3 linked regions of the Sus scrofa genome follow. The protein of the gene in region 1 purifies or fractionates together with the protein of each later gene. This does not show direct contact. Links are inferred from orthologs where the notes say so. Each region holds a gene or a part of one and is shown in the gene's direction. Other genes may lie near its edges.

The links.
Region 2: the proteins of BAG2 (region 1) and DNAJC13 purify together in Homo sapiens (affinity purification with mass spectrometry; 3 studies listed by BioGRID and IntAct, with this or other methods). This does not show direct contact. The link is inferred for Sus scrofa from reciprocal best matches to the Homo sapiens genes BAG2 and DNAJC13.
Region 3: the proteins of BAG2 (region 1) and LUZP1 purify together in Homo sapiens (affinity purification with mass spectrometry; 3 studies listed by BioGRID and IntAct, with this or other methods). This does not show direct contact. The link is inferred for Sus scrofa from reciprocal best matches to the Homo sapiens genes BAG2 and LUZP1.

The regions. Positions count from the first base shown.
Region 1 is NC_010449.5:28,677,691-28,681,729, reverse strand, and holds the start of BAG2 (BAG family molecular chaperone regulator 2), read left to right. Parts: upstream 1-1,232; 5' UTR 1,233-1,548; coding exon 1,549-1,661; intron 1,662-1,798; exon of another isoform or gene 1,799-1,936; coding exon of another isoform or gene 1,937-1,947; intron 1,948-4,039. UniProt on the Homo sapiens protein: Co-chaperone for HSP70 and HSC70 chaperone proteins. Acts as a nucleotide-exchange factor (NEF) promoting the release of ADP from the HSP70 and HSC70 proteins thereby triggering client/substrate protein release.
Region 2 is NC_010455.5:73,625,872-73,629,388, forward strand, and holds part of DNAJC13 (dnaJ homolog subfamily C member 13), read left to right. Parts: intron 1-2,317; coding exon 2,318-2,484; intron 2,485-2,592; coding exon 2,593-2,672; intron 2,673-2,754; coding exon 2,755-2,924; intron 2,925-3,380; coding exon 3,381-3,480; intron 3,481-3,517.
Region 3 is NC_010448.4:80,976,205-80,979,721, reverse strand, and holds part of LUZP1 (leucine zipper protein 1), read left to right. Parts: coding exon 1-450; intron 451-2,402; coding exon 2,403-2,558; 3' UTR 2,559-3,517.

The DNA.
Region 1 (4,039 bases):
TCACCCACTCACAAAGTATTCTTGGCTACTTACCATGTGTTCGCCACTGTTCTCGGCACTTGAGATCCCCCCCCAACACACACACACACAAAGCCCCCACTCTGGAGCACTCGGGGAGGGGGTTGGATAGAACCTCGAATGATAAGATAGTGAAACAGGGAAGGGGGGAGAGCATGGGGCTGGGCAGGGGGAGGCAGTTATTTCCAACAGGGTGGTCGGGAAGGACCCTGACCAGGTGAAGCTCAGGAGACCTGAAGGTGGGCGAGCTCTAGGAAGAGGGTGAAAAGGTCTAGAAGAGCAGGATGAGCTCAGAGGGCAATGCAAGGTGGCATCCTTAGAGACCTTTTCTGAAGACCCTGGAAAGGAGGAGCCCTGAAGGTTTCTGAGAGTAAGTGGTGTGACCTGCTGTACTTGGACTGCTGTGGGGCTGTGTTGAGTGCAAACAGCTGAGAGCAGAAGCAGGGGTGCAAGTGGGAGGGCAGGCCACTGGTCCAGGAGGGAAGGCAGGCTGGGTGCACCCTGAAGGGGAGGGGACTGGGTCTCTGGCATGAGAGTCCAGGGTGATGCTGAAGTCACCTGATAGACTTCCATTCTCCAAAAGTGGAAGGATTCTTTGTTCGTGTCATGATATGAGAGAATATACTTAATGATGTCAAATATTCCCCTCCAGCAACAATTCATCGACATGGAGTCTAAGTTCAGAAAAATTGCCATCCAGCCTTAAGGGCTTCATCTCTGTTCACTTATTTACATGGCTTTGATCTCAGATTAAAGGTTGTGATCCAGCTTTAAAGTGTTATTATCTCCACTTGAAGTGCCCTGTACCTTCTCATTCTTGCAGCGTGAAGCAGCGAGCTCCCCACAACATTCACTCCACTTGTACTGACCTTCATGGTGTCTGACCTCGTGGCCTACGGCATCTTTTCCTAACAGGAGATTTAAATAAGTTGGGTGTGAAAGGGTCTTAACCATTTCACTTAAATTCCAGCAAATAACTTTTGAACAGAAGAAAGTCATTGAAAATAAAGGAAGTTCACCTTCCTACGTCCCGCTGGGTGGTAAGAGGGGCGCCTTTTCTCGCGCGCTCTATTAGCCTCGTTCTCATCTCCGGAGAGGGCCTGGTGGCCAGGCAGGTCGGGCGACACGGCCCCGGCGGCCCGGCTCTGCGCGCGGGAGGCGGGAGGGCGGGCTGGGCTGGGCCGGGCCGGGCCGGGGGCGCGGGCTCCGCCCTGGGGGCGGTGTTCCAGGCGAAGAGCGGGCCCGACGCCACGTGAGCCGCCCCGCAGGCCGCCCGGCTTCCTCCTACCGCCCGCGCGCGGTCAGCCAGCGCCCCGCGCCCCTGGGTTCCCCTGGCGTCTGGAGCCCCGGTTCCCTGGCCCCCAGTCGTCCGGACCCCAGTCCTTGCTCGACCACCCGCGCCCCCCGACCCCCAGTCCCCTGGCCCCCAGTCCCCACCCAGACCGCGGATCCCCAGCCCGGGCGCGGGCGGCGCGTCAGAGAGAGGCGTGCGGCGCGGTGACGGCGGTGACCTCGGGCCTCCGGGCGCAGATGGCTCAGGCGAGGATCAGCGCCAAGGCCAACGAGGGCCGCTTCTGCCGCTCCTCGTCCATGGCCGACCGCTCCAGCCGCCTGCTGGAGAGCCTGGACCAGCTGGAGCTCAGGTGTGCGGGGCGGCGGGCGGATCCGGGCGCGGTCGGACCCCGGCCCTGGGGCACTCGCTAGCCTGTCCGTCCGGCGGTCCCTTGGCCCCGCGTCCCGGCGGCCGCGCTCTTGCCTGCGCGGGAGCGGGGGAAGCCGAGGAGGTGAAGGGTAGGGACGCCGCTGGCGGTTGGGGCTGGGCTGACACCGCGGGTCCGCGGAGCTTCCAGAACCTTCTGCACGCCAGGGGTTCGGTCGGGTCTCCCTGAGATGCTCTTTCTGAACGGGTGGCGGTCTAATGGTCCCAAGGTCAGTGATCCATTCTTTTGCTTCCAACACTTAAGAGCAATATCTCAGAATAAAGCTTCGGGGCCCCATCGGATCCCAAGGCGGGGCGGGGCGAGGGCACTTGTGGGGCGCCCGCCCGGTCCCCTCTGCGTTTTTCCCGGCGCCGGGCTCCCCCCACCAAGAGCCGCTCCCACCTTCCAAGTGCAGTTTGCTGGCCCGAAACCACAGGGGTCACCTGTTTCCACTCTTAGCTGATTCAGGTTTTAATAAGGAATCAACGTGTGGCTTGAAATAAAGCCGCGTGAGGGGGCCCGAGCTGCGCTGTTGGGGGGCGTGCTGAGCACCTGGGGGTGTGGGGGGGCCTCTAGCGCCGCCCCGGCCCCACGGAGGGGACTTGAGGGCGGGGTAGATGGGCGAGCGCACGTTTTGATAGAAGGTCGCTGCTGGTCGGGAGAGCAGATGTGTCCTCAATGGTTTTAGTGCTTTTCTGCGTGTGGGAAGATGCAAGAATCTGGGTTCATTAAATTTTCCTGAAAATCTCTCTCTGTGGGCCTGTTCCGCCAGTTTTCCCAGAGCGCAGAGCCTCCTCATTCCTGCTCGTCTGAATTCTTTCCAGGCTGTGCTGTCAGTTCCTGTAGAACCGGGTGGCCAGGGACTCTCCTAGCGGCAGATGGGGTGGTAGGCTCCTTGGGATGCCTAAAGCCTATGCAAGAAGTTTTGGACCTACTTTTCTCTTTCCACAATGTATGAAAACGTTGATGTACTTCTCGTAAAGGTTCAGGTCACAAAAGCTACTGTATAAATTGTGTGCAAGTGTAGTTTTATGAAAATCTTAACTGGGGCACCCACAACTCCCTTAAACCTCCGCATTTTTTTCCATAGTTTGCACCAGGTTCTGGATGAGCAAAGGAGTAGGTAAGGTAGACATTTCAAGAATTGCCTTTACCTCCCTTGATTAATACACCAAAACGGGAGGGGTCTTATGACTCATAAAGTACACTAATAACCAAATGAGGCATTTCTTCATTATTTATCATGATTAACTGAATGAGGCATTTATTATTTATCAATTAGCATTAAGCAAGTGAGGCCTATATTAATCATTTTAAAATTTAGTATTTATCATTTGAAATTTGTTATTGATGATGATGGCAAGAAACAATGTCTTCTCGGAAAATAAATTCAGAATGTATACCTGTATGTGTGATTGGGTCATCTTGCTGTACAGTAGAAAATTGACGGAACACTGTAAACCAGCTATAATGGAAGAAATATCATTATAAATGAAAAAAAAAAAAAGAAAATAAATTCTCCACCATCATGATTTTGTGGGTAGTAATGGAAACCAGAACCCAGACTGGTTCTGGGGTCCTGCTGGGAATGACACAGATGGAATAAGGGGAGAGCAGTGCTTCCCGTGGCTGGACCTGCTGAAGCCAGTGCTCCTGAATGTCGTGTGTTGTCCCCTTTCCAACCCCCGCCCCGGCAGACTGCCTTTTCTTTTTTCATCGCATCGCAAAGGGGTCTTGTCATCTTCCCGGGCTTTAGAACTTGGAGGGGCATGTTCTCAACCATTTCTGGGGTCTCCCCACCCCCACACCCCATCAGAAAGGAAGGGTTTCTTCTTCAGGGACCGTGGGGGATGTTGCCCCCGCCTCCTTCTTCAAGCTTGAGTGGTGGTCCTCAGACTTGAACTAGTGCCTCACGTACGAAAGCAGCCAAGTGCTCGTCTTTACCAGGAAGGCTTTGGTTTTGAATATTGTGTTCCAGCGATTGATGTGAAGCGAATTCTGATTACTGAGTACAAGCAATTAAATTGTATTTTGCCGAATTAACTCTTGAACTGAGGAGGAAAGGCTGATTAATGTGTGTCTAGTTGTTCATTTTAAGGACCTTCCCAGTAATTGTAGACTTTTGCGAGCTTTATTTCTTGCTTTTAGAAAAAGTAACGCTGAGTGAAAACTTAGGAAGCATTTGGGAAGGTGGGTAAAAACAGGAGTTTTTGAAACCATGTGAGCCATGGAGAGTGGAGTGCACTCTCAGAACCTAGAATCCTACCTAGAAGATCAAGTGGAAGAAGAATGCATGATTTTCCCAGGTCATTTTCTCTAAT
Region 2 (3,517 bases), on another chromosome or scaffold:
AACTAGAAATGATCGATACAGTATATATATATATATCCCCTATTTGAGATAGATAAAAGTGTTGTGTATCCGTAATGAAATACTATTCAGCAAGAAAAAACTGAGCCTTAAAAACATATGAAGAGTAAAGTAAGCAAGACACATAAGGATATGTAAGGCTACATATTTATATGATTCAATTTCTATGAAGCTTTTTTTTTTAAGACCTTTTTAGAGCAGTTTTAGTAGGTTCACAGCAATATTGACTAAAAGGTACAGAGATTTCCCAAATACCTCCTACTGCCCCCTCCCCGACCCCGCCACACACACACACACACACACACACACCCCACACACACACACCCACCCACCCTCCTCCATTATAGCTTTTTCCACAATTTTGTAGTTGGAATCATATGGTATGTAGCTTTTCCAGATTGGCTTCTTTCATTTCCACCATGTTTTTTTCATGTCATGATTGCTTATTTCTTTTTAGCACTGAATAATATTCCATTGTCTTGTTTACCCATTCACCTACTGAAGGACATGTTGGTTGCTTCCAAATTTTGGAAGCTCTGAATGAAACTGCTATAAACATCTGTGTACAGGTCTTGTCTGGATATAAGTTTTAAACTCCTTGAGTTAAATACAAAGGAATATGATCATTGGACCATATGGTAAGAGAATGTTGAGTTTTCTATGACCAAACTGTCTACCAAAAGCCACATTCCATTTTGCATTCCACCCAGCAGTGAATGAGAGTTCCTATTGCTCCACATCCTCATCAACATTGGGTGGTATCAGTATTCCAGATTTCGGCTATTGTAACACTGATGTAGTAGTATCTTTTTTTTTGGTCTTTTCTAGGGCTGCACCCAAGGCATATGGAGGTTCCCAGGCTAGGGGTTGAATCGGAGCAACAGCTGCTGGCTTATGCCAGAGCCACAGCAACGCCAAATCTGAGCATTGTCTGTGACCTACACCACAGCTCATGGCAATGCTGGATCCTTAACCCGCAGAGCTAGGCCAGGAATCGAACCTGCAATCTCTTGGTTCCTAATTGGATTCGTTAACCACTGAGTCACGACGGCAACTCCCAGTAGTATCTTGTGTTTTTTTTTTTTTGTCTTTTTGCTATTTCTTTAGGCCGCTCCCGTGGCATATGGAGGTTCCCAGGCTAGGGGTCCAATTGAAGCTGTAGCCACCGGCCTACACCAGAGCCACAGCAACGCAGGATCCGAGCCGCGTCTGCAACCTACACCACAGCTCACGGCAACGCCAGATCGTTAACCCACTGAGCAAGGGCAGGGACCGAACCCGCAACCTCATGGTTCCTAGTCAGATTCGTTAACCACTGCGCCATGAGGGGAACTCCATATCTTGTTTTAATTAGCATTTTCCTGATGTCATAAGGTGTGGAGCATCTTTTCATGTGTATTTTCTATCTGTATAGCTTCTTTGGTGAGGTCTTTGTTAAGTTCTTTGGATCATTTTTTAATTGGATTTTCTTGTTGAATTTTAAGAGTTTTTGGTATATTTTGGTTAATAGTCCTGTATCAGATACATCTTTTGTAAATAGACCTGTGACTTGTATTTTCATTCTCTTGGTGAAGTTTCTTCAAAAGAGAACTGTAGAGACAGAGACGATAAACAGTTGTCTAAGACTAGGATGTTTTTTGCAAATTGGCACAAGGAAACTTTTGGGGGGAATATCAAAACTGGATTGTAATGATGGCACAACTGTATAAATATACTACAAATTACCAGACTATACATTTTAATTATATGAATTTTGTGATTTGTAAGTTTTGCGCCAGTAAAACTTTTTTTTTTTTTTTTGTCTTTTTTCTATTTCTTGGGCCACTCCCGCGGCATATGGAGATTCCCAGGCTAGGGGTCAGATCGGAGCTGTAGCCTCCTGCACTATGGCAGAGCTACGGCAACGTGAGATCCGAGCGGCGTCTGCAACCTACACCACAGCTCACGGCAATCAATGCTGGATCGTTAACCCACTGAGCAAGGGCAGGGACCGAACCCGCAGCTTCATGGTTCCTAGTCGGATTCGTTAACCACTGCGCCACGATGGGAACTCCAAGTAAAACTTTAAAAAATAATCTTAAAATTAAAAAACAACAGGAAAACATTAAAGCTTTAATACTTTTAATACCTTGGACACAGAATGTCAGGCTCTCTCCTAATGCCACTGTCCTTTTGTGATTCCCTTGTGCACAGAGGGCTCCCCTGACAGGTTACCTGCTAAAGAGCCTAGGTTACCCTCTAAATCAAAATTTCTTCTAATTTATCAATCCTAAACCTTTTTGTTTTTAACTTTGCTTAGGGATTCCTTATTAGCAAGTTTGCTCGATGGAGTAAGAGCCTCTGGTAACCGAGATGTTTGTGTAAAAATGACATCAACTCATAAAGGTCAGCGATGGGGGTTATTCAGCATGCCGGTCGATGAGGAGGTAGAGAGCCTTCATCTCAGATTCTTGGCTACACCTCCGAGTAAGTATGGATTTAAATGTAATTGCATTTCCATCCATTAACTTAATAATAGTTTGAGAAGTACAATGAAGATCTCTAAATCTTTTTGAACCTTTCATCTCCTTACAGATGGCAACTTTGCAGATGCTGTGTTCAGGTTCAATGCTAATGTTTCATATAGCGGAGTTCTACATGCAGTAACGCAGGATGTAAGATAAATTGTATTGTAATTTGTTCATTGTCATTAACTTTTGGTATGGAAACTTTTTTGAAATATTCTTCCTCACCTAGGGTCTCTTCTCAGAAAACAAAGAAAAACTGATCAATAATGCTATAACAGCATTATTGTCCCAAGAGGGAGATGTTGTTGCTTCAAATGCAGAACTTGAAAGTCAGTTCCAAGCTGTGAGGAGGCTTGTGGCTTCCAAAGCTGGTTTTTTAGCCTTTACTCAGCTTCCAAAGTAAGTGGTCTTAAATTTTTTTTAGAGAATTCGAACAATTCAGAATAGCAAATAGTCCACAATTTACCTCTTTATATCTGACTAAAACCTGATACCTATTAATATGCTGATACAGTAGTTTTTGATTGATTTGAAATAAAAAAGGAAGGTGAATGGAACTGGTGATATTACTAACTCTTATTTATCCATTCACCCATGATATTACTGACTCTTGTTTTAGTGAATTTGAATGGGAAATTATATGCCTTTTAATTTTAATTAACCTTAAGAAAATCTTCCGCCTCAAAGAAAAAAATTATTCTGAAAACTGATGTGTTCCAGAGATGGGATTCAGAGTATGTAATTGCAGTAGTAATGTAAAAACATAAGATGACTTATTATGTTATATCTTAATAATGAAATAATAGAATAATGCTCTGCCATTAATACTATATGCTTGTTGTTTTGTTTCACAAGGTTTCGGGAGCGTCTAGGAGTGAAAGTGGTAAAAGCACTCAAAAGGAGCAATAATGGAGTAATCCATGCAGCTGTTGATATGCTGTGTGCCCTCATGTGTGTAAGTAATAGTGTTTCTCTTAAATTGATTTTAAGTT
Region 3 (3,517 bases), on another chromosome or scaffold:
ACTGTGGTCTCTCGGAGTAGCATTATAATCAAGCCATCAGAGCCTGTGGAGAGGAATAGCCATGCACCCGCAGCGGAGACAATCAGGTGGAAAAGCCATAGTGCCCCTTTAGAAGTGGGCTCCTCAGATGCCAGACATGTTACTGTGCGGAATGCCTGGAAGAGTAGGCGAGACTTGAACTCTTTTGAAGACCCCCCAACTCGAATAGGTAAAAACGTGGAGTCTACCAACGCCTATACCCAGAGGTCTTCCACAGACTATTCAGACCTCGAACAGCCTGGCTCATACCTTTCTGAGCAGGGCACTCGAAGGGTAGGAAACTCAGGGGATGCCCCTGAGCTCTCTTCCAGAAGGACCCAGAGCAGCCTCACCGTGTCAGAGGTGCTCACTCGTCGGAATCGGGTAGGAGATGCTGTCACAGCCCCGGCCTGGAACCACTCAGCAGGCACAGTAAGTCCCATTTCTCTCCCTGTCCCCGCTTCTCTTTCCACTTTTCCCGTCTCCTTTGCTTTTCCCTCTCCTCCTCTGACCTGGCCTGCGTGACTCAGGATTATGGAGACTGGGGGCTGGGAAACACTGGGTAGAACTGGTGGGTAGTGCAGAGAATTTTTTAAAATGAGGGGAGTTTGGCCTTAAGAATAAAGTACCTTGAGGAACGTATTTGGTGGAGAGCAGCTTGAATTTCTAAACTCCTTTTCCCAATTTGTCGCTTCCATTTTGCCTTCATATATGAAGGCTACAAAGAAGGAGGGAGATACGACCTCTGTCCTTGGTTTGCCAGAAGAGCCAAAGGAGCTTCCCTTATGGCCCCACAGAGCAGTACTGAGAAACACAAGAATCAGCTGCAGTTGTTGGGAGGCTCTGGGTGAAAGGAGGAAGCTTGGTGCCCTTTCTATAGAGCAGAGATGGAACCAAGGAAAATGAGTTCTTTGGCTGCCTTGGTTTAGACAGCAGATATTTCCTAGTCCCGGTGTAAGCCCCAGCTCTCTTCAGCCCCTACATGCTAACAGGACTACTCTGATACACTTTATGTCTGAGCATCACTTTTTGTGTCACAGACACCTGTCTAGCCCATTATATCATCAGTCTGTGGGCAGGGCTGGTTCACTGGCTTTGTTGAGGATCATAGTGCTGGAACAACATATGAAAGGGAATCCCCGGGGAGTGTCTTATAATTGTGGCTCAAGTGATGAAGACAATTTTGATGTAGATATTGTTCCTTTCTTTTTAAAAGGTGACTGTGCGTTAAGTTGAAAAGCCCTATGAGTCTTTACAGGTACTTAACCCTGGACAAAACACTTCCTTACCATCGCATTCAGTCTCTCCAGCAGCCCTGGGGTGTGGGAGGATATTATTTGTTTTTTAGATGCAGAAACTGAGGGTCAGAGACACAGAGTTCCTTACCCAAGGCCACCCAGGTGAGTTACTGGATGAGCTAATAAGCCCTGAACCCAAGATTCCTATCTCTGAATCCAGTGCACTTTTACCCTGCCAACCTGATTTTGTAACTCATACTGGTATTCATGATCTGCATTAGTTTGGGAAGATCAACAAGGACATTAAAAAGCCAGAATTCTGGAGTTCCCGTCGTGGCGCAGTGGTTAACGAATCCGACTAGGAACCATGAGGTTGTGGGTTCGGTCCCCGCCCTTGCTCAGTGGGTTGACGATCCGGTGTTGCCTCGAGCTGTGGTGTAGGTTGCAAACGTGGCTCGGATCCAGCGTTGCTGTGGCTCTGACGTAGGCTGGTGGCTACAGCTCCAATTCGACCCCTAGCCCGGGAACCTCCATATGCCGCGGGAGCAGCTTAAGAAATGACAAAAAGACCAAAAAAAAAAAAAAAAAAAAAAAAAAGGCAGAATTCTGGTTGAAGAGGAATGGAGAGAAAGTTGGATGTTTAGGCTGCTGAAGCTTTGGCTCTCTGAGAAATACAGGATGAAGGGCACGTATGGGATATAGTAGGAAAGGCATGCAGTTTGTAGGTGGGAAATAGGCTAAGGCTGTCCAGCTTCCTGTTTAGCATACTTCCCTGCCTCTCCACCAAGCAGATGGCTCTTAGCCTGAGAAGCACGCAGCCTGCATGTGCAGCACTCCAAGGGCTGCTGGCCTCCACTTAGGGCACCACTGCAGTGCCCGTTGCAGGCCCTGTCTGCCCGTTAGAGGACCTGTTCAGTTGTGAGCCTCCCCCTACCTTAGGAGCTCCCAGCAACTTGGAGTTGGTAGTTGAAAGTTTTATATTGGCCTGTCCCCAGGCCTGAGCGTATCTTTGTAGCTCTGCTGTGGTCTGTCTGCACTCCATTTCCCTCTGTCAGGTTGGAGAGAACCGTTGGGGTGGGGAGCGAGGGTGTCTTATTACTTACTATATTGTCCTTCGCTGCTGACTTTTGTCACTTATTGGCATAGGAGGAAGGTGACGACTGCACACTTGGTGTCTACAGACGACTGCACAACTCCCTTGAACGATCTGAACTGTCTGCGAAGCAGGGGCTTCCAGAGCCTGGGCGAGCCCGGGGTGAGGAACGGTTACGGCCAAGCAGACCCTGTGCTGAGGAAAACTGAGCCAGTGGGGTGAGGTCTGCTGCCTCCTCTGCTCATGCTTCTCAGCTCTTCCATCCCATCTTCCTGCTCTATGAAGGATCCAAGGCCACTTAACCAGGCTAGACACCAGGCCTTGGCTGGGAGACTGTCGCAGAGAGCCAGGCTGTGGCTCAAGTCATTTTTTGCCAGTAGGCCAGAGGGGATCAGAAACTACAAGCTGGACGTAGTCACCCGGTTCCAGCCTTCCCTGATGCATGAGTCTTCTCCTTGTCCCCACCCCCTAGGTAGGATGGGCCACCCTGGCCCCAAAATGAGGAAAGCTAGAGAAACTCCTTGTATCCACACCACTTAACAGCAGCTAAATCTCTTCTTTGCTCCTTTGTGGGTTCTGCGTCATAGGGCAACCCCCTTCTGTGTGGTTAATGTTCCAGTTTCTTAGGTCTCCACACTGCATCCAGGTCACCGCTTGTTTGCCCTAAGGGCCTACACACCCACCAGCCATCAGCTCCATCTAGGGGGCTTCCGTTCCTTCCCCTGTGGAGTTCCTCAGTCTTTTACAGCAAAAGAGGTCTGTGCTGCGTCTAAGGGTTTATGGAAATACCCTTTAGGTCAGAGTTTTTTGACTTGGCCCCTTGGCTGACCATTGTTTTCTGAGGGCAGAACACATGGGTACCCACCTGATGGAATGACACCACCTCTCCCCCCAACCCCAGCTCTTTGCTCACCTTCCAGAGGTACCTGGAAGTACACAAGCCTCATGCATCTCCTTCTCTGAGCACCAATAATGCTGCTGGCCTTGCCTGTTCCTCTCCTGTGGCTGGAGACCTCAGGCTGACTTGGTCATGTCCTCCTTTGGAATATTTCCAGACTAAACTGGGCCTGACCCAGCACACTCTGCCTTCTAGGAAGCGCCAGCACGGGGGGAAAGTGGACAGGAGAAGCGATTTCCCTTTAGTCACTCCACAAAGCAGTCGTTCATG